Linked DNA regions of Mus musculus: regions 1, 2, 3 and 5 are each reported to be linked to region 4. The links are microRNA targets in miRTarBase. Many come from high-throughput screens and were not tested one by one. Region 4 holds a microRNA gene; each other region holds the end of a gene's coding sequence.

The links. The annotated mature microRNA mmu-miR-125b-5p reads UCCCUGAGACCCUAACUUGUGA and lies in region 4 at 3,144-3,165, shown strand. An mRNA with a match to its seed (bases 2 to 7 or 8) in the 3' UTR can be bound and repressed. Matches are read on the target gene's strand: a 7mer-m8 pairs with bases 2 to 8, a 7mer-A1 pairs with bases 2 to 7 and ends in A, and an 8mer does both.
Region 1: miRTarBase lists Snai1 as a target of mmu-miR-125b-5p. Seed matches in the 3' UTR shown: 7mer-m8 at 4,496-4,502.
Region 2: miRTarBase lists Madd as a target of mmu-miR-125b-5p. Seed matches in the 3' UTR shown: 7mer-m8 at 5,145-5,151.
Region 3: miRTarBase lists Vps4b as a target of mmu-miR-125b-5p. Seed matches in the 3' UTR shown: 8mer at 1,540-1,547 and 7mer-A1 at 1,961-1,967.
Region 5: the mRNA of Bmf is a reported target of mmu-miR-125b-5p. Seed matches in the 3' UTR shown: 8mer at 1,152-1,159, 8mer at 1,193-1,200, 8mer at 1,809-1,816 and 7mer-m8 at 2,350-2,356.

What each region holds. Positions count from the first base shown.
Region 1 is chr2:167,540,776-167,546,867 of GRCm38, reverse strand. Snai1 (snail family zinc finger 1) reads right to left here. Exons shown (of 3, transcript NM_011427.3): 3 at 4,054-4,969. The coding sequence ends at 4,785. Among named protein-coding and RNA genes, the nearest start is that of Snai1, 5.6 kb to the right of the region's middle.
Region 2 is chr2:91,132,915-91,139,006 of GRCm38, forward strand. Madd (MAP-kinase activating death domain) reads right to left here. Exons shown (of 35, transcript NM_001177720.1): 34 at 5,795-5,841; 35 at 4,446-5,487. The coding sequence ends at 5,383. It overlaps Mybpc3 (myosin binding protein C, cardiac), which reads left to right. Exons shown (of 35, transcript NM_008653.2): 27 at 1-106; 28 at 1,257-1,345; 29 at 1,500-1,695; 30 at 1,876-2,015; 31 at 2,178-2,337; 32 at 2,433-2,569; 33 at 2,822-3,008; 34 at 3,190-3,227; 35 at 3,329-3,602. The coding sequence ends at 3,200. Among named protein-coding and RNA genes, the nearest start is that of Mybpc3, 18 kb to the left of the region's middle.
Region 3 is chr1:106,767,445-106,773,536 of GRCm38, reverse strand. It overlaps Vps4b (vacuolar protein sorting 4B), which reads left to right. Exons shown (of 11, transcript NM_009190.2): 11 at 989-2,749. The coding sequence ends at 1,090. Among named protein-coding and RNA genes, the nearest start is that of Kdsr, 11 kb to the right of the region's middle.
Region 4 is chr9:41,578,797-41,584,888 of GRCm38, forward strand. Mir125b-1 (microRNA 125b-1) reads left to right here and starts at 3,130; the gene lies at 3,130-3,206. The region is part of intron 4 of Mir100hg (Mir100 Mirlet7a-2 Mir125b-1 cluster host gene); the gene reads left to right. It overlaps Gm51670 (a long non-coding RNA gene), which reads right to left and starts at 850. Exons shown (of 2, transcript XR_003948129.1): 1 at 397-850.
Region 5 is chr2:118,527,152-118,533,243 of GRCm38, reverse strand. Bmf (BCL2 modifying factor) reads left to right here. Exons shown (of 5, transcript NM_138313.4): 5 at 585-4,487. The coding sequence ends at 686. Among named protein-coding and RNA genes, the nearest start is that of Bmf, 19 kb to the left of the region's middle.

The DNA of each region.
Region 1 (6,092 bases), not on the chromosome of region 4:
CCATTGCAGCAAGTGGGTTCTTTGTTTGGTTTTCAGAGACAGGAGCCCAGGTTGGCCTCCAACTTAGGAACTTGCCACGGATGAGCTTGAACTTCTGTGCTTCCTTCCTTCCTTTGACTCAGAGTACTGGGATCACCTGCAAGCACCACCTCACCATGCGGCCCCAGCGGACGCAGTGCGGGGACCAAGCCCAGAGCTTCATGCCTGCTACGCCAGCACTGGACCAACTGAGGCCCATCCCAGCCAGCCCTCCCAGGACAGACATATCGCCGTCTATCATGGAAGGAAGTGAGGCACTCAGCTCAGGAACTCAAGGCAGGAACCTGGGGGCAGGAGCTGGTGCAGAGGCCACCGAGGAGGGCTGCTGACTGGCGTGACTTACTCAGCCTTCTTTCTCTGACCATCTAGGGCCACCTGCCTGTGGATGACATCACTTACAGTGGGCTGGGCCCTTCCACATCAATCATCAATCAAGAAAATGCACCACAGGCTAGCTCACAGGCATATCTTACAGGGGCCCTTTCTCCACTGAGGCTCCCTCTTCCCAAATGACTCCAGCTTGTGTCAAGTTGACATGAAACTAGCCAGCACAAACTGACTTTATAGATCAGGCTTGTCTTGAACATACAGAGATCCACCTGCCTCTGTCCCCCAGGAGCTGACATTAAAGTTGCCTGCCATCACACCTGAGTTTTATTTTGTTTGTGTGTGTGTGTTTGTTTGTTTGTTTTTCTTTTTGAGATAGGTCTTGCTATGTAGCTCAGGCAGACCTTGAACTCCTGACAATCTTTTTGCCTTAGCCTCCAGAGTGTTGATGTGGGCCACCAGGCCTAGAAGGCCTGTACTTTTAAAAAATACTAATATTGGGCGCACGCCTTTAATCCCAGCACCCGGGAGGCAGAGGCAGGTGGATTTCTGAGTTCAAGGCCAGCCTGGTCTACAGAGTGATTTCCAGGACAGCCAGGGTTATACAGAGAAACCCTTTCTCAAAAAACAAACAAACAAAAACATAAAGAGCACTGACTGCTCTTCCAGAGGTCCTGAGTTCAAATTCTAGCAACCACATGGTGGCTCACAACCATCCGTAATGAGATCCGATGCCCTCTTCTGGGGTGTCTGAAGACAGCTACAGTGTACTTAAATAAATAAATCTTAAAAAAAAAAAAAAAACTAATATCACAGGCTGGGGCTGTAGCTCTGCAGTCAGCCATAGAGCACTTGACCAGCGTATATGAGAGTCTGGGCTATCTCTCCAGCACCACAAAAAACCACAGTGCTTATAAGCCCTTCAAAGCCCTTCACACAGAAAGCAAACACTCCTCTCTCTCTCTCCCTCTCTCTCTCTCTCTCTCTTTCCTTTTTTTGAGGCTAACCTAGTCTACAAAGTGATACCTTCTCTTCAAAGCAGGGGATAAGGGTGGGGTTGGCTTAGATTGAAACTTCATTTGTAGGATTTTTGCCTGGAATACACAAGGTTTTGGTGCTCTATCCTCAGAAGAGCACAACAAGACAGAGTTGTATACATCTGTTATCCCAGCACTTGGGAGGTGGAGGCAGGAGGGTCACTACTACATGAAGACTTTGTAGCTAGCCTGAGCTACACAAAAGCCTGCTTCAAAGATAATGCTTAAATAAATAAATAAAATAAACGGTGGCCGTGTTGGTTGGCGCATGCCTTTAATCCCAGCACTTGGGAGGCAGAGGCAGACAGATTTCTGAGTTTGAGGCCAGCCTGGGCTACAGAGTGAGTTCCAGGACAGCCAGGGCTACACAGAGAAATCCTATCTCGAAAAAAACAAAAAACAAATAACAAACAACAACAACAAAATGCTTAAACAAACAAACAAACAAAATAAATGATGGCAGTGTTGATTGGCGCACGGCTTTAATCCCAGCACTTGGGAGGCGGAGGCAGGTGGATCTCTGTGCCTTCCAGGCCAGCCTGGTCTACAGAGTGAATTCCAGGCCAGCCTGGTCTACCGTTTGTTCCAGGACAATTGGAACTACATAGGGAGACCCTGTCTCAAAAACAAACAAATCTAAAACTCAAAGAAGGCCTCCCCTCCCGCCTCCACCCTTGATTCTCTCACTTCTCCTTGGCTAGTTTGGCTGCCTGCCTTCTCCTAGAGACAGCCTTTTCTCCTCACGTTGTCAAAAGCTGCACATTTCTGTGAATAACCCTTTGCAGTCCCCACCCCAGTTCTTCCCACAGAAGGCTGTCTGTCTGTCTACTCGGCCCCAGGCTTAGAGAGGTTCCTTCTGGGACAGCTGTGTCCTCTCTCCCATTTACTGGGGTCCAGGACCAGTCCCAAGGAAGCGAGGAAGGCCCCAGGCTGGGTGGGCAGTAAACTACCCAGCCACCATAGCCCTGGCCCGAGCCCTTTGTCACCTGCTATGCCACCTCCATTCCTTCTCCTAGCTCTAGTCTCTGCCCTGCCAGGCGGCCTATGGGACCTTGGTCCCAGCTGCTGTCTCTAAGCCCCTTGGCTGCATTCTGGGCTGAGGTTCCAGAGAGGCCCTGATCTCCCTCTCCTCCTGGCTTTCTAGTGCCCCCAGCCACATGGTCTTTCTCAGGACAGCTTCTCCCAGCCCCACAGCCTACTTCCCCTCCCCCAGGATTCTCCCATCCCTCTTCCTCCACCTCCATCCTTCCCATCCTCCTCCTCCCTCTCTGGAATGTCAACCCTCCCGAGGGCTCTGGATGCCTTGGTGGGAACCCTGCCTGCTGCTCTCAAGTCTTCCCGGCCTCTCATTCCATCCTGGCACTGCTGCAGGCGAGCAGTGTGTTTAATTGCTTGTTTGTTTTCTGTCTCCCCGACTAGAACAGAGTTCCTGAGCACAGTGACTCTTCACAGGGACTGGCACACCCCGGCTCACAGTACCCACTGAATGACTGAAGGAATGTTTCCTCACAGCCTCTCCAGAGACAGGCACTGTTGCCTCGGATTTCTAGAGGCAGAAACTGGGGCCGAGAGCAGAGAGACTCTTGCTTGCTTCTGGCAGCGAGAGGTGAGAGTCAGGGCCAGGAGCCAGGCCTACCTGACTCCCAGCACGCTCAGAACCAGGCTGACCAAGTCCTAGGCACTAGACCTGGGGCCAGGCCCTCAGCGCTGAGTCTGGTCCTGGAGGCCCATCCCATCCCTCCAGGCCCGGGGTGAAGTCACTCACTGTTCAACCTATGTGGAGGAACCTCCTGGGGACACAGTAGGCCTTCAGCTCGTTGATGCCCAGCCCCCAATACCACCTCACCAACCTCCCCTTCAGGGAGGCCTGCCACAATTTGGCGATTGTTAGAGACTTTTTTTTTTCCTTTTGGGAGGAAAGCTGTAAGTCATTAGGCTGTTCCCGCCTGCGGGTCACCATTTCCTGTTTAGAAGACTCATCTCTCCTTTGGAGCTGGAAGCTCCCCACCCCCCAGCCGGGTTGGAGCTGGGCTGGCTGAAGCTCCCAGCCGACGCCTGCTCAGCTCCCCACAGGAAACTGGCACCTTCATCACCTTTTGTGCTTAGAAAGGACACTCATTTTCTCTCGAGCCCCAGGAGGCCCTCAGAGTTGAGGTCACCAGCACCAACTAGCCTGAGGTAAATTGCTCCAGCCCTGGTCCTCCAAGCAGGAAGCTGTATGACCCCTACCCTTTGGCCTGGCTTCTCACCCTCCTGGCTCCAGCCAGCCCATTTCCTTGCATCAAAGACCATTTGGTACCCAGCAGCCAGACAGAGGTGTGGGCCTGCCTGACAGGGAGGCGCTTGGGAACAGGAAAGACATCCTCCCTTCAGCTGGGAGGGGCAGCTAGCTCTGCCCCAAAGACCTGCTATGGTGGAGCCAGAGCTCCTGGCCAGGCTGTGGCTAAGCCCCACAAAGCACCTTCCCAAGAGAGCCCGAAGAACTAAGAGTTCAGGAAGCTTGCACTGTACCAGAGTGGGACAGATACCAGGCCAGGCAGCCCAGGCCCCAAAGTTCACGACTAGTTAGAACTCCAAAGCACAAGACTTAAGGCCCTGCCCCTCCCTCCTGGAAGTCCCTTTATGGTGCCCCCACCCCAACACTGAGCACTTTTTAGTATATAAATTAACCATTTTATTGAATATCAATAAACTGTACATATTAACTATACAAAATGCTGCTTACAATATAAATACCTTTAAAATGTAAACATCTTTCTCCCGGGGCCACCTGTTGGGCCCCAAAATAGTTCTGGGAGACACATTGGCCAGGCTGAAGCACCCCACTTGGCCCCTAACAAGTGATGGCCATTATTCATGGTCCCTTCTGAGACAGTTAAACTGCTGTGAAACAGGTGTCACCAGGACAAATGGGGGCGGGGGCTGAAACAGTTGCCCAGGCCCAGGGGCACCTGGACATGTGTCCAGTAACCACCCTGCTGAGGCATGGTTACAGCTGGACGGGGTGGGGGGGAGGGGAACTATTGCATAGTCTGTTGTACCTCAAAGAAGGTGGCCTGAAGGGTCCTTGAGGGAGGTAGGGAAGTGGGGTCCCCTGAGCGGGGTTCAAGCTTCCCAGCCAGTGGGTTGGCTTTAGTTCTATGGCTCGAAGCAGCTGTGTCCAGAGGCTACACCTCATGAATACTGAGGGGTAGGAGGCTCTGGGCGGGTACAAAGGCACTCCATCAGCCACCTGCGGCAAAGGCCACCAAGAGAGCCAAGCAGGAACCAGGTCCAGACATGGACGCCACAGGTCCCCGGACCAAGGCTGGAAGGAGTCCTGGCAGTGAGGAGGAGGGTGAGCTCCGGGAAGATGCCAGCGAGGATGGGGAGGTAGCAGGGTCAGCGAGGGCCTCCGGAGCAGCCAGACTCTTGGTGCTTGTGGAGCAAGGACATGCGGGAGAAGGTTCGGGCACAGGCCTGGCACTGGTATCTCTTCACATCCGAGTGGGTTTGGAGGTGGGCACGCAGGTTGGAGCGGTCAGCAAAAGCACGGTTGCAGTGGGAGCAGGAGAATGGCTTCTCACCTGGGGAGAGATACCAGCAGGGTTAGGAAGGCCTGGACAGGGCCCGGTCAGCCCAAGCACAGCCAGACCTGCACTGGATGCGGGTCTCTGGGCTTCCTGCTGTGCAGCCCTGAACACCACCAGACTGCTGAGTCTCCAAACTCCAGGCGGGGCTCACTGAAACAAAGTCCTTCCCACCTGGCAGGCACTGAACACTTCTGATTGACCTGTCATCTGTCCCTTCTGCAGTCCTATTAGAGGTGGGGAAACTGAGGCACAGAGGTACGCAGCAGGCTCTAGGTCACCCACCATACCTCCATAGCCCGGGTTGTAGTCACTGCCTCAGGCAGGGGAGCTGCGACTGGACTTCCTATTACCAGCCTTGAATTTACTTTGATTTACTTTGTCTGGGACAAAGCTTGAGAGGCAGCCTGGAGAGGCCTCCCCACCCCCACCCAGAGCCAGCAAGGCCATTCCTCTGCATGCTGCCAGCAGCCCACCGCTCTGCAGTAAGGAAGCTCTCCTTAACTAACTGCAAGCCCAGGGGCTTACAGACATCTGGGATCCTGACCGGATCCGTGCCCAGCCAGGGCTATAAGGACACACGGGGGCTCTGTGTCCAGTAAGTGCTTAATTACATGCTGTGTAGCTGAAGACTTCTGTGGGTTTGTGCCCCCGAGGATGGCTGAAAGCGGCTCTGTTCAGTGAATACCTGAATTAATAAATGTGCTTTTTAAAAAAGGGGACCTGAGCCTGGGGGTCCATATTTGTAACCCAGCATTGTAGAGACAGAGGGAGGAGGGTCTCTGGTTTAAACCCAGTCTGGCTGAGTTAACAAATACCGACAAAACCAAACATCTGCTGCACCCCTACTATGTGCCAAGCATGAGGCTGTAATGCCAAACGGATTTTCAAAACAAGGCAAGCCTCCCGTCCCTCCCAGCCTGCTAGTCCACAGGCGGTGCCCTTTGGTTGGATTCTAGTGATGGAATTCGGGGCTGAGGAATGGCGCCTGGGTGTGCTGAGCCTCTGGATAGAGGAAATCTCAGCAGGGATCCTGCGGGATCCACCCACTCAGCAGGTATTCACTGAACAGAGCCGCTTTCAGCCCCCCTAGGGGGCACAAACCCACACAAGTCTTCAG
Region 2 (6,092 bases), not on the chromosome of region 4:
CTACCCACTGGGGCACGGCTGCTGTTCCGAGTACGGGCACACAATGTGGCAGGTCCTGGAGGCCCTATCGTCACCAAGGAGCCTGTGACAGTGCAGGAGATACTGCGTGAGTGCCCTTCTGCTAAAAGGCCTGCCACTGGCCACCCTTTGCCAATCAAGACAGGCTGGGGACATGGGCTTTAGTAGGCAAGGGCAGGGACAGGGGCTGGGGCAGGAAGGGCCAGGGCCTTCATCTATGCCTTGGGCTCTCTTGGTTCAGTCCCTAATTCTGGAACAGGTACTCCAGCACATAGGTATTGTCCTCAGAACTGAACAGTGAGGCTTTTCGGAGCCATTTAGGGTCGTCTGGGATACACTTCCCATTCTTCTGTTAGTCTTTGTTGTTGTTTGAGACAGGGTCTCTCTACATAGTCCTGGCTGTTCTGGAACTATGTAGACCAGGCTAGCCTCAAACTTACTGTCTGCCTCTAACTCCTGAGGGCTGGGAATGTGCCATTTGCACCTGGCTCATTCTGTTCTTTACCTCAACAAAGGTAGAAGGATTGGTTCTCTAGGTCAGAGGGAAGCAACAAATTGACAAGCATAGAATCAGAGCCTTTGCTTACATTTTTCAAGAATTGTGGCTCCAAATAACTTCCTTACCATCTTGAACTGAAGCTGAACACAGTGGCACCCCGCCCCCACACACCCGTGCCCCCGTGCCCCCACCCTGTAGTGCTGGAGGAGGGTGAGGGATGTGTAGCAGGCTTGGCTGTATGAGCTCCCCCTCAAAAGATAACACAGGGGCTGGGAAGATGGGCTCTCTGTTAAGAGCACTTGCTGTTCTTGCAGAGGATCAGGGCTTGGTTTCAGCACACATATGTGTGGCTCATAACCATTTCTAACTCCAGTTCTAGGGGACCCATTGCCTTTTTCTGACCTCTACAAACACAGGCACACACATGGCGCACATATATGCATGCAGGCTAGATGCTCATGCACATAAGTCCATAAATAAATCTAAAAAGTGAAACACACACACACACACACACACACACACACACACACACACACGATAGTAATATATCGAAGCTCACTGTACAGCTTTTAGTGTTGAGCATACTGCAATTGCTGTGGGTTAGGAGAGTCTGGCCCATGGGAACTTTTTTCTCAGCTATAGTGCTCTGGACCCTGCCCCAGGAGAGAATGGACCTGTGGAATCCTTAGGGTTGGGCTACAGAAGGGCTGTTAGTGAGCTGCCTCCTTTCTACCCACAGAACGACCACGGCTCCAACTGCCCAGACACCTGCGCCAGACCATCCAGAAGAAAGTTGGGGAGCCTGTGAACCTCCTCATCCCTTTCCAGGTAGGCTGACTCCTTCCCTGTCCCTAAGAAGAAACCACAGTTGAAGGATCTCCTGAAGGCTGCAGACCCTGAGGCCTCCATCCACGTGTTGCTGGTGCAGAACCTGCCCCTTCGGAGCGTCAAGCTCAGGGTTGGGCTGGTCATCTTCCCCCAGGGCAAACCCCGGCCTCAGGTGACCTGGACCAAAGAGGGGCAGCCCCTGGCAGGTGAGGAGGTGAGCATCCGGAACAGCCCCACAGACACGATCTTGTTCATCCGAGCTGCCCGCCGCACCCACTCGGGCACCTACCAGGTGACAGTTCGCATTGAGAACATGGAGGACAAGGCAACGCTGATCCTGCAGATTGTGGGTATGTGGGCCCGGAACCTCCCTTTCAGCACCCTTGTCTCCTGACCTTGTGTCTGGGAGCCCAGCTCAGAGCTCCTGCCGAGGGCACTTAGAAGGAGGGCCTTCTAGGTACTAACAGGCTCCTGCTTCTGCTCGGTCACTTCAGAACGCTCAGTGTGCCAATCAGATCTGTCTCCTGCAGACAAGCCAAGTCCTCCCCAGGATATCCGGATCGTTGAGACTTGGGGTTTCAATGTGGCTCTGGAGTGGAAGCCACCCCAAGATGATGGCAATACAGAGATCTGGGGTTATACTGTACAGAAAGCTGACAAGAAGACCATGGTGAGCCTGGGGCCCTGGGTCTACATATACCCTCCCCTGTGCTTACCATTCACCCCCAATCCATTATTCTGGTTTCCTGCATGGTAGGGGTAGTGGCACAGGGGGTACCCAAGAAAGGCAGAGGTCCCTCAGAGAGTCCTCCCTTCCTTCACCATCCTCCAGGAGTGGTTCACGGTTTTGGAACACTACCGACGCACTCACTGTGTGGTATCAGAGCTTATCATTGGCAATGGCTACTACTTCCGGGTCTTCAGCCATAACATGGTGGGTTCCAGTGACAAAGCTGCCGCCACCAAGGAGCCAGTCTTTATTCCAAGACCAGGTGCTGTACCCTCCCTCACACTGTGAGGAATCTGGGGAAGGAGGGGGAGCCTCACTTGGGGTGACCTTCTTGGTACCAAGACTTGTCACCAACAGGCATCACATATGAGCCACCCAAATACAAGGCCCTGGACTTCTCTGAGGCCCCAAGCTTCACCCAGCCCTTGGCAAATCGCTCCATCATTGCAGGCTATAATGCCATCCTCTGCTGTGCTGTCCGAGGTAGTCCTAAGGTAGGGACTCAAGGTCCTGGGCTAGACTGACAGGAGGCTGGTCTCCTAGGCTCCTTATGGTTAACTCTCCCCAGTCTATATTGTCTTTCCCCTGAGCAGAGCCTAATCCCCCATTGCTGACTCTCTGTTCATTCTCAGCCTCTGGCTGAGTCTGGTGCTCTAGTGGGAATTTCTAGAATAGTCTCTCTGAATTCTCACCGGTTCTTCCATCACCAAAATGCTCTCCTTCTCTTCTGTTTACTTGATGTTCAGCCCAAGATTTCCTGGTTCAAGAATGGCCTGGATCTGGGAGAAGATGCTCGCTTCCGCATGTTCTGCAAGCAGGGAGTATTGACCCTGGAGATCAGGAAACCCTGCCCCTATGATGGTGGTGTCTATGTCTGCAGGGCCACCAACTTGCAGGGCGAGGCACAGTGTGAGTGCCGCCTGGAGGTGCGAGGTAAGGAGCCTTCTGGGCCAGGGCTTGGGAGAAAGCAGGACAGCACCATGGACCCTGGGCTTGGCTCTGCTGTCCTGGTTCAAGGAGTACCTCTGGCTGCTAGATCACTGGTCCTGACATGTTCAGTGGATCTTGGCTTTTGGAAGACTAGGGAATCACATGGTTTCCTTCCCTCTTACAGTTCCTCAGTGACCAGGATGGCTCCCCAGAGATGGCTAGGTACGTATTCCAAACCACCTAAGGCCAAGGGCCTAGGGTGGCTATCAGGAAATGGGGGTACAAGAAGCCACAGTTCATCCACAAGGCAGCCTATGTCTCAGGTACAAATGGATGCCAGGCTGTGTACCAGACCGGAAGGGAGTTGGAGGAGCACCCTTTTCTGCTACTGCATGTGTGTGTGCAACTGTGCATCCTGGAAGGACTGGCCAGCAGTGACACCAGGCAGGTCTGCTGGGTTCTGAAGAAACTGACCCTAAGGATAATGTTAATACTGGGAGCATAAAGTGTGTGGGCTTCAGAAGTGGTGACTGGGGACAGGCCCTTTTGGCTGGCTCATTGTGTAGGAGCAATAAAAGATCTGTGCCATTCCTGGGGGTTGATGTCTCCTGTTCATGTCCATGGGAAAGCATACAGCATTCGCTTGGTCACCCCACTCTCCAGTTCAGTGTCCTGGACTTGTGGGACATCAGCACTGGAAAGGATGTCAGCCTCCCTCCACCCTCATGCTCAGGTGAGGAAGTGTGGAAGTGAAAGCCGTTGGAGGCACAGGCATATGGGCCTCATGCCAGTAACCCAGGCAACACCAGCTGGGTGCTATACGGGGGACAGGGCAGTAGAGCCCTGTACTGTATTAGACATCAAGACTCCAAGAGCCCACAGCTCACGACCACATCTCATGGGACAGAGTGACTCCATGCAGCTCAGACACAGGAAATCACAACCTTCTCTGACTTCCTCCCAAGAGACCACATTTCCTTACAAATCTTGTGGCCGGCAGGTCTCAGAAGTGTCATGGCAGTGTGCTGGGTATTCTGCCCACAGGTGCCAGGGTTTCCCATGGCATAGATAGCCCATGAGGGTTGGACATGGGTTACCACTTTATTTTTTACAGAACCCTGGTCCGAAGGCCCTTGGGAGGCCCAGGTCACCACAGCACATCTGAACACACGTGTACAGGGTCACAGAGCAGTACCCCTGTTTTCCTGTGACTTCTTTATCAAGCTGTTCAGGTGTGAATGCCCAAGTCACCTCCTCTCTAGTGCCCAGAACATCTCAGGACTTTACAGCCGTAGTGTCGTAGGTGTTCCTTTCTGGCACCCCAGGAAGCCCAGGAGGCAGGAGGCCAGGGCAGGCTCTCAGTATGCCAACGCTGGATGCAGATGAGCTAGGGACAGCCTTCCTCAGGCCCGGGCTGAGAGGAGTGCACAGGAGCCCAAGTGGAGTTCAGGACATTTATTTCACATCACACAGCTGTACATTTTTCTATAAATAATGTGGAGCTGAAATATTTACATTCTCCTCCTATCCAGTCCATAGCTTTCTTCTGGCACTGAAGCCAGGAGACTCTGCCTGCAGACAGGCGTGCACTCTGGGCTCAGCTCAGCCCTGACCCACCTATCCCCGGCCCTTAGGCAGAGCAGCTGGTGCTGTCTGGGACACCATCACCTCATTCCTCCGTCCTCTCATGCCAAAGGCCAGGAAGACCACTGCACAAATCCCAGCTCGGCACATGGCAGCCACTCAGGGACACCCATCGATGGAGCTGGGGCAGGCAGCAGCATGACATGCACCCACAGTTTAGAAACTGTGAGGAAGCAGGAAGGTCGCCCACCACTTACTGAGCTTCCTTTGAACCTCCCCTCCTCCTCCCAGGCCCTCAGCCAGGAAGATTTGTCCCCAGGTGTCTTTCACTTCCCAGAGTGGAACTGTCCCAGGTGCCCCACAGTGCCAGATCATAGAGGACAGAGAGAAGACTCCTAAACTGGAGGATATAAGGACTAGGACAAGGGACCACAGTGCAAACATCTCAAGGACAGGCAATAGTGGGCTCACAGTGACCCCACAGACACACACACCACACACACCACACACACACACACACACACACACACACACACACACACACACACTCTGGAGCCCTGAGGGAACAGAAGGCTAGTCTGCTATTGTAGGAAGAGAAAGTAATGAGGCTAGCTTAGCCCCGTGACAGATGAACACAAAGACACTCAGACGTAAGAGAAGACCAGCTAGACCGTGGGAAGGAACTTGCTGAGAACACACACACATTCCCATCTCAGTCCAGCAGCTTCGGTGCTTAGGAGCAGCAAGAGGTGAGGGGAGACCCCTGGGCTTGGCCAGCTGTGGAACCCTTCTATCAGCTAGAGACAGGCCGAGGTGGGGTTCGAAGGTCTTCTTCACTGCTACGAACTGCGGCCACATACGAGAAGAGACACAACACAGAGTAGCAGATCTCGTGGGCCTGCAGGGAACAGAAGACCCGTTGGATCAGCCACACTGAGACTCCTTCTTAGGTAGAGGGTCAGCCTAGAGTACGAGGCCTGCCCTGACACTAGTGCAGGCCCCTGGGCTGAGTGAGCCTCAGGCAAGTCTCTGGAAGCCTTTCTCCTGAGAGAGGGGGGTCAGCACATGTACCCCAGATGAAAGGTGTGTTTGACTTGAGTTGAACCCCTGGCATCTAGTCCCCCGCGAGGGTCCACCCTTCTTGCCGGAAGGTTCCCAGGGAGCCCTGCGTGCTTCGGCCTGCTGTGGCTGGGACGCATACTCACCATTGGCGTCTTGTACTTGTGGCTCACCACTTCTTTAATTTCAGGAACTAAAACCGGACGGGCAAGAGACAAAACAGAAAGTTCAAAACTAAGAGCAACAGGGTCCTACTCCCCCGGGCGGCTGCGCCCGGTGCCAGGCTCCCCTTCCCTCTGTAGCCTCTCACAGTGGCTGTGGCGGCTTAGGCTACGATAGAACAGAGCTCAGCCTGTCCAGGCAGACTCTTCAAACAGACATCGCAAGTCTGCCGTGGCTTTTTACTTGATGCCTGCGATCTACGTGCTTCTATGCATGTCCCAA
Region 3 (6,092 bases), not on the chromosome of region 4:
TGTACATTTACATTGTAGAAATTAAAGTAACTTCACGGTTTATTTTGTAAGGTGTATCTTTATAGAAGTGTGGTGCTGCAGAAATCTGCTTGGTTACTGGTGAACACCCAGTGTCAAACAGCTTTGGCCTTAGCTGCCAGTTTTCAGAGTGCTTTGTGGTAGGTTGGACAGGAGCATTAAGAGAGGAGACTGATGTGCTAGTGAGCAGACATAGTCTGCTGTGTGTGTGTGTCTGTATAGGGACACAGACTCAGTGCTTGTCTGAGTACTCAGAAGTCCCGCTTACTGCAGTACTTCCAGATGAGATTATTGTTGTAAGTTTTATGTTCTGTCCTGATTTGAAGAATTCAGAGTAACTTACAGTGGTTCCTTTTTTCATTTGTGATGTAATTTTATAGGAAACGTTCATTTTAATGACTTTCTGATGTTAGTGTATTTTCACCATTTCACTCTTAGTTTTAACTTTAAAAAATATTCTCATTGCTGTTCCATTTAAGTACAACCAAGTGACTTATAGAAATATATTTTTGTAGTAATAAGGAGTACAATTTAAAAAGGAATATAGTGATACTACTACAAAATGCAGTTTATAGTTTTCATCAGAAGGATTAGAATAATGTAGAGGGTTTTACTATTATTGAATGCTAATAGTCTTGACTTTCAGAATTCGATACTTCAGTTACAGAATTCCACAGAGACTGTGCTAAATTATCAATTGCTTGTGCAATTACCATTTTTCTTCTGGGTTACACTTGGTGTGAAATAGACCTCTTGTTGAAGATAAAGAGTTAGACCAGGAGTGAGATGGTGGCTGGACTATGGCCTGTCTTTGTAGGAGGTAGTGAGCATGGTAGGTAACGAGGAGGAAGTTGCTGCTAGGAGCTCATAACACAGCACATTTTCCTAGGCAACTGTAAATTCACAACGAAGAAGGACATTTATACTGTATTGAGTCCATTGTTAATGACCTCTTTCCTTTCTCTGACAGTGGGATATGCTGCGGTCCCTGTCCAGCACAAAGCCAACAGTCAATGAGCAGGACTTGTTGAAGCTGAAGAAGTTTACAGAAGATTTTGGCCAGGAAGGCTAACACAAAGACAGCAAGAACATGTTTATGCTGCATTTCTTCTCTTTTGTAGGTATTTTGCCTTTCTTGGATGACATTCAGATTATTTCCAGCAAAACTCGTTTACCCAGGGAAACATACATGTCACTTGAGTGTTCCTAAAGTCTGTGTTGTCCTTTTCCTTCACTGTCTGTTAAATTCTCTAATTCACAAACATTGTCGAATTGTAAGGAAAGCAACAATGGTATGAGGAACAGCAGAGTGGGGACATCGAGGAGCCTCGCCCGGCTTCATGGACAGCAGCTAGGATTCTCATGAGTACTTGTTCAAAGAGCAAGGCCTTTTTTCTTTTCCTAAAAATGAAATTGAAACGGGGCTAAAGCTAATGGTATATAAATGTCTTGAAAAATCTTTAAGCATTTTATCAATGTAAACTTACTGCTTTATTAAAAATTAATGGTAGAATCTTTACTCTCAGGGATGGGCAGCAAAACGCAGAGCACTGATGAATTTGGGGTTTGTGGCACAGCCAGTGCTCCTGTTGAGTTTCTAGTGGGCTGGTTTCTCCTGTATAGATTAAAGTGATTCCTTTAAAGCAGTGGGCTTTTATAACTCCATGACTCCTTCCACTGTGCACTCGAGACTTTCTAAATCAGTAGTCATCTTTGCCTTGTCTACGCAGTGTCTTTTATAGCCAAGATTGACCAAAAGAGGTAGCAAACAAGTATGCATTTTTCGAGAATTGTCATGAAATACTGTAATGGGAAACTTTAATAAGAAAATGACTTTCTTCTGGACTTTGGGATGTTTCCTGTGGATGATGTGGGTATGTGTGTACATATATATACATAATTTTTAAAATATTAGCGAGAGTCATGTCTTTCACTTTTAAGTTCAGGGAGCAGTTTGTTCTAACCACACAAACATTCTCAGTGTGGTATTTCATGGAGCTTTAGAGACAAACTAATGTCTCATTACATAATGAAATATGAACATACCATCGTGTTATTTCAATGTCTTCAAATACATGATCTGAGGGTGTATGTCACATACTTGTGTACCAACTCTTAGTTGTGCCTTGGACATTTGCATTGCCTACCTGCAAACAATTACTAGGTTAACTAGAATTGCTATGCAGTTCTACCTTGCGAGTGCTACACGGTAATTGCATTTTAAAGTATATTTGCACATTTTACATGCTATGCTATATGATTGCCTTTGGGTTTTGTGTACAGACTATTTTTGTTGATATTCAATGAAAATTATAGGCTTGAAATAATACTGTTCCTATGTGAAGTAAATTGCTATAACCTACTTTTGGCTTTTATATGTTTTTTTTTTTTTTATTTTGGAACCTTCTACATAGGAGAAAATGTCTTAAGTTGGTTAGATAAAAAGAAATAATTTATATTTATTAATGAGCATATATGAAAGATTCAAGGGTAGAAGTGCACACCTATAATCTCAGGACTTCAAAGCTAGTCTAGTTTCCATAACAAGACACTGTTTTTTAAAAGAACATTAAAATTCTGCTCTTCCACAGCTACTGTGTGAAAGCTGTAAGTTATATTGGCAGAATAATACTGAATTTTTTCTAAATGAATTAATTTGTGTAGCATCTTAGTTGTTGAATTAGATTTTAATTAATAGATCCTACTTCCAGCCTCAGTGCTTAACATTCCCAAAGAAAGACACACAGAGAGCTTTTATATTTTGATATGCCTTAAACAGTGCAACAGCTAGGCCACTTCCAACCTCCATGTGGTTAATCCACCTCCCACTGATAATCTTGATCTATCACTTACTACATTCTGTACTCTACCTTGACTGCCCTGGGCCTAGCTGGGCAGCCCTCTGGACCACACTGTCCCAGTTCCTAGATGGCAGCTATGCCTCCCTGTCCTCCACTCTTCTCAGGCATGGCATCTCCTCTCCTCCACACTCTCCAGGCATGGCAGATCTCCTCTTCCTCCCTCTTCCCTAGCTTTTAAGCCCTGGAATCCTGACGTCCTGCTTTTGTCTGCCCTTCCCAGCCATCCTCTGCTGGCATCTTTATTGACCAATCAATACCAACTGGGACAGGGTCCCCCAGTGCAGACTCTCTTGCAAACCGTTTTGGGGACCCAAATTAACATAGTACAAGCAGCACTAGGCCCAATCCACTATAGTCAGTGTTCATTGCGTGAAGAGAACCGTGACCAATGTGACTCTTAAAAAGGAAAGCCTTTAATTGGGTCTTGCTATAGCTTCAGAGGGTTAAACAGTTGTCATGGTGGGGAACATAGCATGCTGGTAGACATGGTGCTGGAGAAGTAGTTGAGAGTTCTGTATATCTGCAGACAGCAGAAAGAGAGAGAGCCACTGGACCTTGCTTGGGCTTTTAAAACCTCAGCACCTAACTCTGGTGATACACTTCTTCCAACAAGGCCACACCACTAACCTTCTCAAGTAGTGCCACTCCCTCATAACTAAGTACTCAGATATATGAGCTTTGGGAGCCATTCTTATTCAGACATGTAATTTGTGAATAAATTATATATAAACTGTTTTTGATAAGTCTCTGGTTAATGAGAATTAATATAAATTTATTTAAATACACTTGAAAGGGAGAATTTTTGTGAATCCAAAGTTCAAAAAAAATCTATATAAAATTGGTGAAATATATGAGCAAATGGTAATAATAGTGTTTAAAAGTGGATGCTTTAATTGCACTTAATTTTACTTTTTATAAGCAAGGTCTTAGCTGGCTGGCTTGAAACTCACTATGTAGATCATGCTGACTTTGAACTCACAGATAATCCCACTTGTTTCTGCCTCCCAAGTGGTAAAGGCATACACTACTATGCTTAGCCCCTCATACTTGATTTTTATATATCCTTTAAGACCTCTGTGTTGCTGTGACTTGGAATTATTGCTCCATTCCCTAAATCTATTTATAGGGAATAGATTTATTTATGTAATCTAGCATCTTTACACTTCTGGAATGGTAGGATTTGCTTCACAAGCCATTTTCATGTATTTAAAAAAAAACATTAAATTATGTGTGTGTATGTTTTTCGTGATATGGTGGGGGAGCACATATGGATGTCAGAAGACCCTTATAAAGTTGGAGGGGAAACATGGATGTCACAGTGCCTTTGTGGAGTTGGTCCTCTCTTTCCACTTAAGTTCAGACTGTCAGGCTTGCCTGGCAAGTGCTCCTCCCTCAGCACTGAGCTATCTTGCCAACCCAATCTGTGTTCTTTGTGTAGAAAATCATTGGAGCCAGTGTGTGCATGTTCTGCCTCTCAGGTCTGTGACTGCTCTATAGTTTTAGGTAGACAGTTTCTGAGCTATCAAGAAGACCCTTGTGGCTGCCCATCATGAGCTGCACACCACATGATTAAAAGTGTTATACCAGTCTGAAGAATTGTAGACTCTGATGTCAATACATCAGCAGAGAATTGACTGCTGAGTTCACTGTCTGTTGGCAGGAAGTCAAGATGGTGCAGCTCACACTGAAAAGCATCCTTTGCCACTGCTGTGAGATAAGAGAAAGGAGGCAACACTAGTGGTCAAGCATAGCATTGTCAGTGAGGTGGTTTTGTTTTTTTGGTTGGACTGGGATTTGGGAGGAGTTGGGGCTCTTTGTTTATTTTGAGATGGGATCTCATCCCATCTTGGCCTCCCAAGTGCTTCTAGTATATACTTCTAGTATAGGCACCTGGTATCAAGCCCTGCTTATAATGAACATTGCTCATTGCAGGAGATTTTTGTTTGTTTATAAATACTGTGCATCAGATTAAAAAAAAATGTATGAATTTGAAAAGTAGACAAACATGTTAGAGTGTATCTTTTGAAATTCATATAATGTACAAAATGTAGAGCATGCACTGCCTAAAACTTTAGCACACAACATACTTAGCTTAAATAAAAATTCTTACCCACCTGTTAAATGAAAGGGGCAGTAGAGGGAGAAGCTAACAGTACTTAAGTCTAGTGAAAGGAATATGAAAAACTAATCTCTAAACAAATAAAATATAAAAGTCAGTATGAATGACAGGTTGGTAGTTACTGATAGGAATTAATCTCAAGTTCTGGGATATAACAGAAAGCAAGTGTGCATGTGTTGTGTGTAATATATCTTAAGACATAGAAAAACAGGATCACAAAGATATTCATCAAATGAATGTCCTTTGAAGAGTTTCTGTCTATTCAAATTTCCTTCCTGGTCCAAAGCATGCTCTGGCCTCTCCTATGGGAACTCAAATGGGAGATCTTTTTCCTTCATTCCTGTCCAAGGCTTAGTGGATACAGCCATTCCGGTTTTCACTTTGAACATCTAGAACAAAGAAGGGCAAGGCATTGAAAATAGGCTTGTTTTTTGGTGATGGTACACACCTTCAATCCCAGCACTCGGGACAGGGCCAGAGCAGGCAGATCTCTGAGTTCAAGTCCAGCCAGGTCTACAAAATGGGTTCCAGGGCAGCCTGGACTACAAAGGGAAAAAGAAAGAAAGGAAAGAGGGAGAGAGGGAGGCAGGATAGGATAGGATTGTGGTTAGTAGTAGCATCTAACAGGAAGCCTCTTGGCAGCTATATAGTAGAATCACAATGAAAACTTGAAGAGCACCTGGTAGAGGTTGAGGCAAGGATAGAGGCCCAGGGATCTCCCTTGGCTGTGTTCAACAGTTCTTGTAGTCACAGTACTAAAATAATCTAGATAGTGTTTGATCAGTATTTCATGTCACAGGTTTCTAAATTGTGTTAGTCATATATCCAGATTTACCATATGATCCATAGATACTTGTGTATATGCATTTGTAACACTGAGAAGAATCTGAGTGAGAGCAGTATGAGGAAGGTGTGTGAAGATGGATCATGTTTGTGGTCAGCCTGGACCGGGAGTTTCAGATTTCAGATGTGGAGGGATGGAGTTGGCTCAGTCTTTGAGAGCACCTACTGTTCTTGCAGATGGCTGAAGTTTGGGTCCCAGCACCCAAATGTTAACTTGCCACCATCAATCCATAGGCACAGATGTGATGCAC
Region 4 (6,092 bases):
TTAGGCTGATCAATAAAGTATGCCTATAGCTGATGAATTGGGGGGGGGGGATACAAATGCTTCAGGAATCAGGAAAATGCCTGCCGCGGAAGCCAAGGGTTTGGCTGAGCGGAGGAGACTGAGTGAGTGGCTTTCCAAATCCCAGGACCATAAGTGGCAAATTAGTGCACATTGCAACCGGAGGCAACCGGCAAAACTCGGCCATTCAAAGGCAAGAGTTTTAGCATCATGGTCATTGTGTGCCTGAAGAGCGTCTATGTATCTTAAATATAGACTTGAGTTGTTGCTCTTTTATGCTTTCACACACAAATTTCAAAGAAATGTTTGGGGTGTTGTTGACTATCTGCCCATTTAAAAAAAAAAAGAAGAACAGGAGAATTTCACAAGCAGCCTCACCTGTGCTCATCCGCACTCGTGTGTGGATGCCAAACAATTGGCCAAAGAACCACACTGCACCAGAGGTCTCACTTCTTCACATTCACCATCTTGAACGTGCTCCAACCCCCCACTTAGAAAATGGGCTACCTGAACTGTTGATCTAGCAAAAGAATATATATTCATGTACATATATAATATATAATGTATATATTACAATGTCTAGTTTCCCCTGACCTGATGGTGTATTTTTGATCTCATTAGTAGTCAGGGAGATGTCTCCGTGCATCCGGTGCTGCTAGTCCGGGAGGAGACATGCTACAACACAGAGAGAGCAAGCTCGAGAGAATTTTCGAAGAGGCTTGTCTTCAAGATATGGAAGGAAGTGAGAGATGACAGCCTGCAAGCTTTGTATGCCAGTGCCTGGCAGGGCAGGGGGGGGGGGAGATGCGAGGGAAGCCAAGTGGATTCTCAGAAAAAGGGGGGAAGCCATCAAAGAGCTAAAGGTGATTAGAGGGGGATATCGATTCCTTACTCTGCCAGAGGTTTAAGCAGGCATGAGAGGAATCTGTACCATGGCTGGCAGAAAGAGACCCATTGCCTCTTGTAACCAGACACTGGGGCTTTCCAGGAGCCCAGGGAGAGAGCCGAGAAGAAAGGGGGCAGTGTGGTCTAGGAAAATTCAACTTGTCGCTGATTTGTGCCTGATGCTTGCTGTCCGTCAGCAGCCTCCCTTACAAGCCTTTTTTCCTCTCTCTCCTTTTTTTCTCCCCTTGCCTTCTTCTTCAGTGAAGCCTAGGGGAGCCAGTAAAGATTAAATGTGCTTTCTCAAAGGCAGCCACTTCATGCTGCTATGTCGAAAGGGCTATTATTATTATTAATATGAGAGAGAGAGAGGGAGAGAGAGAGGGAGAGAGAGAGACTAGGTATGGTGATGACGGTCTGGCTTTTCGGAGAGCAAAAGGGAGAGAAAAAAGGAGAGACCATGAGCTGAACCAAGGACTGTGTATGAGCTGAACCTACAGAGGTGAGGAAAAAAAGAAAAGTTTTGTATGTGTCTGTGGTGTGTGTCTGTCTGTGTGTGTGTGTGTGTGTGTGTGTGTGTGTGTGTGTGTGTGTGTGTGTTGGGGAGGTGTTCTAAACAGACCATGTAGTGAAGGAAAAGACACGGTTTAGCGGGCTGGCTGGCTGGCATGATTGTAGTTCTTCTGGTGAGGAGGGGGTGAGCCTGGAGCTCTTAACTGTTTCTAGTTGTATATGAAAGCATATTTAAAATAGTTAGCTATTTTCCTTTTCTTTTTATTTATTATTATTAATTTTTTTTTATTCTGAGTCTAAGGGCCCCCTCCAGTGTCTTCCTTACAGCGGTGCTTTGTTATTCTGTGTGCCCAGCCAGCCATCTACTTTGCTCAGGCCTGGGATAAAAGAAAGAAAGGAGGGGTGAGGGGAAAGAAAAATTTTTAAAGAGGCATCTTCCCATAGGCTTCCCCTCCCTTTCGTGGTGTTTTTTTTTTTTTTTTTTTTTTTTTTTTTTTTTTGAGTCTGCACAGGAAAGCGCCGCTTCCAGGCAGAGGAGGTTCGAGAAAGCGACTCTATCAGGTACAGCACTAGTAGCTGTCTGTGAAGATGGAGGGGGATTACGCCTCGGATTCTTCTGAAATATTGGCCAAAGGCTTCAAAGGATCCGCAGCGGGAGGCGAGGGTGGGGGAGCATCTCCCCAGCTCGCACCCACCCCTTCCCACTTTGCGTCTACCAAATGACAGGCTGGTGCTCGCTCTGGGTGATTTTGGCCTTGGCCTCAGCCAAGCAGCTGATGCAGAGGAGGGCCAGCTTTGCAAGACTGACAGAACTCTGAATGCTAGAGAAAGAAGAAGAAAAAGAAAAAGAATTTTTTTTTTCCGAGCAGTCCTTGGGAGATTTTCTCGTTCTCTCTCGATTTATTTATTTATTTCTATTTTTTTTAACCGACTATTTTCCAAATTCGATCAGCCCCAGCCCCTCCCTCCACTCCCACCCAACAGCCTTCCCCCCACCCCCCACCCCCGGTCAAAGCATAAACCACAGAGTTACGGTCTTCTTTGGATTTTGGAGTATCGCTTCCTGCCCCCGCCTTCCCTCCCCGCCCCATTCTCTGTCCTATTGAACACCTCGCCCAGCCTAGAGCTCACATTCTCCCCCTGCTCCCGATGGCGCTCCTGGAAGCTCTGCAACTATGCTCCACTTCAAATGGGTGAGTTTAAAAAACCTATCTTACCTCCGATTCCTGCTTCCTGCTTCCCGCAAACCCCATCTCTTAGGATTGTTGCATGAGGCACGCTTGCCCTGGGGGAAGGCAGATGCATATTTTCCTCTCCGCAGTCAATCGTGCTAGTTAACAAATGAACGGTTTGAAGAGATGTTTAATTCCAATTGTAGATCGCTTCTTTTCTTTCCAAATAGAACTGGACATTTCTGAGCTTATTCATATTATTTTCCAATTTGGTAAATGATTTTACCCAAAGCTACAAAGTTTCCTTTGATACAACAGACATTTATATGTTCAGGTATATATGTGTGTGTTGCATATACAGGGCTGTATGGAGACAGAAATGAATCTAAATTTTGTGAAGGGGAGAGGTGTAGGGAGCCAGGATGTAGTCACACTGGACCACCTGTTTGCTGCATTTTACTCACGAGTCTGCAACCGAAATTGCCTGTCATTTTTATTTTATTTTTGCTTTGTTTTGTCTCAAGAAAGAATGAAGGAATCGTGTTGCGCTCCCCTCAGTCCCTGAGACCCTAACTTGTGATGTTTACCGTTTAAATCCACGGGTTAGGCTCTTGGGAGCTGCGGGTCGTGCCTTTGCATCGCTGAAGGAACTTTTTGTCTTTTAAGGAAGAGAGAGACAGAGAGACAGAGAGACACAGAGAGAGAGAGAGAGAGAGAGAGAGAGAGAGAGAGAGAGAGAGAGAGAGAGAGAGAGAGAGAGAGAGAGAGAAAAGTTTGTCAGAAGTGATGGTAATACACCCTTGAGGCTTCCATTGTTAGATGGGATCAGGTGACCCGAGTGGCAGCTCCTGGCTTCTGTAAAAGTAGGCATAGTATGTTAGCATCCTGTGTTGGCTGCTATGGACGCCTGTGTATATATATGGCTGATACCGAGGCTGGCGGATCTATTCCTTGAGAGCAACACACAGTACTATCGGAGCGTAATACCAACAGCTCAGTACCTGGTGCTTGGCCTCAGAACATCTCAGCTGAAGTCCCAGCATGCCCCATGCCTCCAACTTTTAAGCTCAACAGTTAATCTCAAAATTGTGCCCAATTAAAATGGGCATGGGAATGTATTCTATCTGCATTGTCTACGTGTGTTCTGTTACCAGACAGAGGTTTCACTGACGGAGGTATTCATACACCTCTAGTCTGGACGAAATGAAGAGGTTAAATATTCAACTCTTGTATTCAATACAAAGGAAGGGAATTAAGAGATCAGGCAAGATAAAATACGTGTTACTTTGAAAGATTTTGTGAGAACAAAAATGGAAGAAAGAATTCTCCCTCCTTGGTTTGGTACTCTAAAAATGTTATACATGATGGACTTTAAAGTAAAGAACGATAGATATGGATTTTCTAAATATTATGGAGTGAAAGAAATAGCTGGGTGAATTTGGTATTGTTGCATTCTTTGTGGGGGGTCAATCAATGCTCATGGCTCTCTTTTAGAAATTAGAAAGATGGCTATCAAGGATGTTAATTCTACCTGACAAAGTTATTGGTAATATCAAACCCCATTTCAAAATAATCCCCTCTCGAGGCGATTGTGAGCATTTCCTACTTTGTAGTTTTCTGAGATTGTAACTTTCCATGGCAGGGGGAGTCCCACACCTCAGTTCCACCTCACACTGGGAGAGAAGGACGAGGTGCTTTACCTTGTCTTTGTTATAGAAAATTCTGGGTGTGTGGTTTCCTTTAAACCGTTTTACTCTCCTCAGCCCAACCTTTCTCTTCATTTTTGGAAAAAATACCTAAATCAACCCAGACCCCCAATGCTTTCTTCTTGGAAAGATTTTGGAATAGCCTCATTGTGCACACGGAGTGGAAGGTGAAGGAAACTGTTTGCGATTTCTTTTTTTTTTTTTAAGCATTTATCGCAATTTGACTCATTTTAATCCAAACTGCAGTCAAGAAAGCATTTTGTATCAGAACGCTGAACTGAGAAGTGTGTAACAACTGTGCTGTGTCTTTTGTTGAAACCTCCTGTGCGGCTGTAATTTAACTATTACTTGGCAGCATTTGGTGGAATGTGCTTCAAAGCTTACAGTTCTGTAAGTGATTGCCCGTGAGTTTATATAAAATAATTAACGATTCCCCACCCCATTTCAGCCAATGCGTATGTATAGCTATGTAGAAATTATGGCAGTACAACAGTTTAACTCATGGGCAATATATATACTCACATCATACATGCAAAAGACCGGCAGACATTTGGTGCTTTTGAAGGCAAGATATGTACGCAGCCTATCTGATAGAAAACGGGTGCATGATCAATAAAGCTATGATAGCTGTAATTTCTCTGTGATTTCAAATGATCGGAAGACATAACTAATAGCAAATGTTTCGGTTTGTACTCTGGGGCACTTCTCTTTTCCCCAGGCTTTCTAGTGGATTCCTCCCACTCTCAGACTAAAGCAGGGTGCTCAGGCATTCAGCAGGGCGTGTGACACACAGGTTTTTATATTTTAGCAGGCAACTGCTTCATTGCAAGGGCAGGTTTCTCAACAGCCCCTCTTCCTCATGGAGCCCATCAGTGAAGTTCAGTGAAATGAATAACATAATTGGTGGTTGGTTCAATCACTACCAGTCTAGACTAGCCCAGACGCATCAATTAGTGGGGACTGTCTTTTTAGAGGGAGAGTGTAACCGAAACAAGCAGGCTATTATTGATACTGATCTTTAAAAGCGCAAATCCAGCCTGGCAGATAAAAAAAAAAAATAAGGCTGGGAGCTGCAGTGGGGGTGCACTGGGGGAAGAAAAGAGACAGGGAACTGGAGCTCAGGGCGCAGGAGGACAGGAAGCTGGAGAGAAAGGGGGGGATAATGAGTGGAACGCTCTCCTGTGCCTCCTAGGAGCACAGTTAGAATTCAGTTCACAGGGCTCAGTGGCTCACCATTTTTTACCTAGCTGAAACACACAGACACAGACACACACACAAAACCACCTCCTTTTTAAAAAGTCTTGCTTTTTTTTTTTTTTTTTTTTGGTCTGTTCAAAATCAATGCAGTTGAAATTTAACAGCTTAAGCAAGCCCACTGATAACAAGAGGAACCAGCTGAAACCCGTTTTGCAATATCTTGCCCCTCAAAGAAAAATACAGAAAATGCTTAATTTTCAAATCTCTAATTGCTCGCTTCCTTCCTTCCTTCCTTCCTTCCTTCTTTCCTTCCTTTCTACCTTCTTTTTTCTTTCTTTCTTTCTTTCTTTTTTCTTTCTTTCTTCTTTCTTTCTTTCTTCCTTTCTTTCTTTCTTTCTTTCTTTCTTTCTTTCTTTCTTTCTTTCTTTCTTCTTTCTTTCTTCCTTTCTTCTTTAAGGAGGCATGCTAGAGAAACAGTAACTCATTTTAAAATCTGGCACCTGGAATGAAATTTATGGGCAAAAACACCTTTATACAAAAAGTTTATGGCTTCCCACAGAACGCAGTGAGATTAGAATTGAGCGACTGTAACAAAGGGTGATTT
Region 5 (6,092 bases), not on the chromosome of region 4:
GGCTGCCTCACACAAGTCTGTGTGTGTGTGTGTGTGTGTGTGTGTGTGTGTGTGTGTGTGTGTGTGTGTGTGTGTGTGTGTTTGTACTGGATGAAATCAGATTTTTGCTGCCTCAGCAGTGTGGTTTAAATTGAAGATTAACCCTTTGACCTTCACAGTGTCAAATCACTTGCAGATGGAGGCTCCCCCTCCCCTTCCCTCTCTTGTTCTCTGTGTTCCTTTGGAATGGGGGAGAGGGAGGGACTTCTTGTCTTTCTCGCTCAAGCAAGATTGTTGTTCATGCAGCTAAAGTTAAGGGGGGGGTGGGTGTCAGGAGCCAATCTGATTAAAAGCAGTACTTGGCTAAACTCTGGAAAAATCCTGTAAGCAAGGGAGAAAGTCTGATCCTCCTGTGCTCAGTACACACAGCCCAGCGTGGTGTATTTAATGCCCAAGCTGCAGTTGTCTTGGGAGGTTCGTCTCTTGTCCCCCAGTTTGCTGGATGGCACAAAGGTGCCAGCCTGAGATCTGGCAGTGGGAGCCTGTTGGGGACCCAGTAAGGAGCCTGTGGCCTGACACCTAACGGTCATCTCTTTTCCTTACAGCACCAGCAGAACCGAGACCGTGCGTGGTGGCAGGTCTTCCTTTTCCTTCAAAACCTCGCCCTGAACAGACAAGAAAACAGGGAAGGGGTGGGGCCCTGGTGAGGCTGGACCGCCCTGGCCGGATGGATCACCAGGAATGCAGTCTGGGAGGACAGATACTGTCTTGTTAAGTTTTGTTATCCGTAACTTTCTATCCATGTGTACATATTACATGCCCCAGTGGGATCTTCTTTCCCCGTTCAGAACCTCCACTGAGGATGGGGGCCTTTGTCAAACACTGTTGAAGGAGAGGCAGCTGTGTCTGCTGGTAGAGTTCCTAAGGCTCTGAAGATGACCAGTTGGTGATGTTCTCCAGGAAGTGGACTGAGACTTGCTACCGGAGCTGGTTAAGTCAGGTTAGGCTCCCAGTACCATCAAACATGTCAGCCTTCCTTCGTGCCTGATGGATCATGGCTTTAACCCACCAGGACCCTGTCTGGGAGCCTCCTGGCTAAGATCAACTGTGCCTTGGCTAGCCCGATTCACGTCTGGGTTCCCACTTGGCACAGCCAGCGCCCACCGCATGGGCTCAGGGATTCTTACTCAGACGCTGTCAACTTCCGGAAGACCTCAGGGAGGGTCGGACTTCTCCAAGAACCCCTCAAAGGTGCCACAAAATGAATCAAACTTGAGAGGCTTCAAGTCTGACTCGGTCCTACATGGAAGCCCCTTGATTGGTCCCCAAGGGTGCAAACTACTGCCACCTTTGCTGGAGCCAAGTAGCCAGTCACCATGCCGTTGTACCCAGCGGCCTGTGCCTTTGTCAGCTCTGTTTTCAGAAGACCCTGCCAATGACTGGACTGGATCTGTCTGCATCCATCTCAGCAGAAGCACTTGGAGATGGGGTGGGCTTGCTGGGGGCGTGGGAACCCAGCAGCCATCCCACTGATAAGTTGGTCCCGGGGGAATCCTAGACCTCTTGGTTTCCTTGGAAACGTGTACCTCCTCCCCCTTACCCCCATTCCTTTTCTGTACCTAGCGGGATACAGGAAGAAGCTAGGACTGAGGCTTTGTCAGCTGAAAAGTGACTTTGGAAGTAACAGACAATGTTTAGACCATGGAAACTGCAGAGCTGACACATCTTGAATCTCCCTTTAGCTTTCAGCTAGGCCAGAAAGGAGAGTTCTAGAACCCAGCAGGACCTTAGCTGCCTGGGAGCTCCTTCCTTCTCTCCCCGCTGCAGTGCTCAGGGAGGGAACGAAAAGCAGCTGATCTTAGAAATTAAGTCCTAAGTGTTATGTATGTAAGGAAAGACATTGGTGCTATAATGAAGATGAGCCAAGGCTCAAAGAAAGATGGCTTCCCTAGACAAAGAAGAACACAGGATTATTCAAGGACTTTGGAGGAGAAACTCAGAGTAGACTCAAATTGAACAAGCCCAGTGACTCCCCATTCTGCAGAAGTGGGGGGGGGGGGCGGATTTCAGTACCATAAAAGGGCACCGGATCTCCTGGGTGTCCAGTTGGGCAGGTTTCTCCCTGCCAAGGCTACCGACAGAGGGGGCTCATAGAGGCTGAGGTCCAGCCTGTGCCCTGCTCTCTAGGCTGCACATCCTGATGTGGGCAGGGTCTGCCCAGAGTAAGGAATGTCTTTCCTAATTTGCACAAAGGTACTGTGTGCACTCTCAGTGGTCCTGAGGAGGACCTTAAGGCATGTGTATAAGCCTTTGTGTTTTTCTGCTCAGATGACCTGGAGATATTACCTCTTCTTGGCCACAATCATTTTTCTCAGGGTCTATACCATAGTTCGTCTGCTAAGAAAGTGGGTTTCTGTTTGCAAGGAGAGGGGACCCAAGTAATGAATATGAAGACTGGTTCTGAGGGTGGGCTTGATTATTTGTGAAGCCCAGCCTTCCTACATCCCACCCTCCCTGCAGTTTAGATGTGTGTGGGACATATGTGGTCTTCCCCTTTCCTGGATCAAGGCTATGACAGGCAGGCTTCTGGTATGTGCTTGGTACATGTGCTGCAATACATGTGCTTGATGGTACATGCGTGCCCCTCCCCATACAGAACCTTGTACTTCAGTTATCTTTAACATAACTTAGTAGACTTTCCATCTGTCCTAAGGCATGACTGTCAGCTTCAGCAACCTTGCTAGGTGCAGGCTGGGTACCCTGTGGCCTGAGAACTGAGCCCAGAGTTTGACCTGAACATTGAGCCTGGACCAGGCAGAAGCTGGTCAGAATGTACTGTCTCCATTTTGGGCCAAGCCGGGACCAAACTTACTAACTCAGGCAAGCCAGGGTGAAACTTAAACCCTCTTTTATCTTTAACCTGAATCCAGGCTGGAGTTGAAGCTCAATGATAAAGGGCTTGCCTGTCGGTCAAGAGACCCTCGGATGGATCCCAGGACTGTAAAATATAAATAAATAAAAATATGCCCCCTCTCTCCAACCTCTTGGAGGCAGCTGGCAGCCCAGCTCAAGGAGGCAAGAGGTTCCCCCTGGCTGCTTGCTTTAATTGGCCGGTGATCTCTGCCTGGTGAATTGGTTTTATAGTCTCTGAGTCCAGCCCCTGGACAACCCCTCCCCTTTGCCTCTCCAGAACTCCAGGAGCTTGGCTGTCTCTAGTGAAGAGTGGAGATTCAGATTCTGAGGGAGGGAGGGAGGGTCTGACCTGTGTGGTGACCTGTAACCAGCTGAAGGCAACAGGCTTTTGTGGTGTGCTGAGGATGGGGGGTGGGAGAAGAGCTGGAAAACTCTGTAGAAATGCCCTAGAGGAACAGAAGCCCTGTATTCAGGGGCCAAACTGCTCTACTAATTCACAATCCCCAGGAGGCATTTCTAAAAGCCAGTGAACAGATCTGGAGAGGAACATCCCCCAGTCCCGTCACTGACTCCCCCAGGGAGACTGGGGTGGTACGCAGGAGAGTGGGGGGAGGGTGGGCACTTTGCCTGGCCCTGTCTCTCTGTTTCAAAGTTTGGCTGTGCTGTTCAGTTGTCCCCAGTGGCCTTGTCTTGCTCAATCAGAGGTGGAAAAAGATCACCTCCCGGTGACCTCCTTCAGGCCCCAGGGGATGGGCTGTGTCCAGAGCTATGTGGCAGAGCTTGTTTCCAGAGCCCAGAGAGGCCCCGCTGGCCTGCCTTGCTGCCCCAGTGGCGAAACGCAAGCCCAACACTGAGCATGGCAGGGAGTGGGTGTTGGGGACAGTCTAGCCAAGGCCCCTGTCTGTCCCAAGCTTTCCAGGAACTAAGCAGTGAGGTCACTGTGACAGTCCTGCCTGGTCAGCGAGGAGAATATTCTGAGCTTTCCCGCTCTGGGACTTACTGGGGAGGGGGCGGGTACCAGTGTATGGAGTAACAAGACATCAGCCTTCGTGGCTCTGCAGGATTTGGGGGAATCAGTACAGTGGCCACTGTGGCTGCTATGAAGATAAGGCCTTTTGGAGACAGGCTATCCTGGCCTGATACCCTGGTTGGACCTAGAGGGATACAGGGTGGAGCCACAGTCATTTCAAGTTCCCTGGGGTTCCTGTGGGCTGCAGACCTAGGGGACAGAGCCTCAAGGAAGACAGCAGAACAAAGCTGAGCTCTTCCATATATGCCAGCTTTGGCCAAGGTGCTATGAGGTCTGTGACCCCAGGCTTGCACTGCCCCTTTCTCTACAGTTGTCTGATGTCCACCCCATCTCTGGGTTCACAGAAACTGACACGGGGAGACCCAGCGAGATGTAGCATTTCCTTCATCCCCAGTCTGGTTGGCCCGGGGTCTGGGCATCCTGCCTTAAGGAAAGGAATGGGGACCATTATTTTTTAACCTGTATATAATATTTGACCTTTTTTTGGTTCTTTATATGTATACATGTGTAAATATCCTCTCATCCATCAAGTGGTACAGTTTTTAATAAAACCATTTAAAGCAGATCTGTTCTTTATTTTTTCTAAGGTGTGTTAAAAGTACAAGAGGGAGCATCAAACAGCCTTAACGTGTTTCTCCCATGATAGCCAGAGTTACCGACAGGGGTGTTGCACTCTTGTCATGGTCTTTCACTTCTTGGAGTTGAGAAGAACAGTCTGGCTGCATAGTAGTAGAGCCACCGAAGCCCAGTGCCTCGGGACAGAGGGGCTTTGGAGGGGTCAGCCTGGGTTCGGGTCCAGGCTCTGCCTGCCTCAAAGCACTGAAGGGACTATATCACAGGCCCCACCACCTGTCACCCAGCAGTGGCAACCTCTGTGGTGGTGATGAGCCTCCTGCCTTTCTACACACAACCCATGCCCCTGGCAGGCTGAAGCCTAGATCCCTTTTACCAGGGTACTATGGTAGCATAGGCCTATGCTCCCAACTGCTTGGGAGATGGAGGCAGGAAGATCACAGATTAAAGCTATAGAGAGTTCAAGACCCTGTTGTAAAAGGAAAGAACTGGAGACTGTCACTTGGTGGTAGAGCACATTCCAAGCAGGCCTGAGGCCTCAGGTTCAATCCCCAGTTCACAAAGATAGGGGTGGAGGGAAAGGGGATGGCTTAGGGAATACAAATGCGTACTGTACTGTAGCAGGAACTATTAAAAAACCGGCACCACCCCGAGCTATACCCAGCTGCTCTCTTCCCGTGGACAGAGGAGAAAGGAGGAAGGAAGGATGATGGAAGAAGAGGGAGAAGATCCAGATTGCTCATGTGGCTATCCCATAGATAGCCATAGGTAGCTAGGAAGGTCTTATAAGGGATGGATAATTTCAGGACAATTTGTCTTATCTTATCTAGGTGGGCAGTTTATATCAATATCAATTGGCTCTGAGTTCATTGTGTGGGCGTTTTGCGGGGTGAGAATTTACTGATACAAATCTGTCTTATAAATTCCAAGCCTCTAGAGTTTGGATTTTACTGGGTTACTGGGATTCGGGACCCCTGACCACAGTGGGTGGGTGTCTGGGAATGTGAGCAGAATCCGCAGCAAGAGAACCAGGATCGGTCACCAAATGGGGCTAGCCTGGGGTGGAAAGACCTCGGGAAGAGAGTAGCTGGATATAGCTCCGGTGGTGCCGGTGATTTTTTTTAAATAGTTCTCGCTATACTGTACCAAGTATAAAGACCTAAGTGTGGATTTGTTTGTTTGTTTGAGACAGGGTTTTTCTGTATAGCTCTGGTTGCCCTGGAACTCATTCTATAGCTCAGGCTTGCCTGAAACTCAGAGTTTCTGCCTGCCTCTGCCTCCCGAGTGCTGGGACTAAAGGTGTGCACCCCCAGCCACCACAAGCCACCAGTTAGCTCTAAGTATGGATCTTAGGGACCCATTCCAAAGGCCAGGAGCAGAGGCACTTTCTGGGAGGCAGCAACAGAAGATCTCAGGGGCTTGCCTGGACAGCCACTCGTAAATGAATTGGTAAACTTCAGCTTCAATGACAGACCCTGTCTCAAAAGAAAAATTAGATAAAAAATTAGGGGCTGGAGGGATGTATCAGTTGTTAGGAGTGTTGGCTGCTCTTCCAGAGTACCTAATTGGTTCCCACTGCCCACACTGGGCAGCTGAC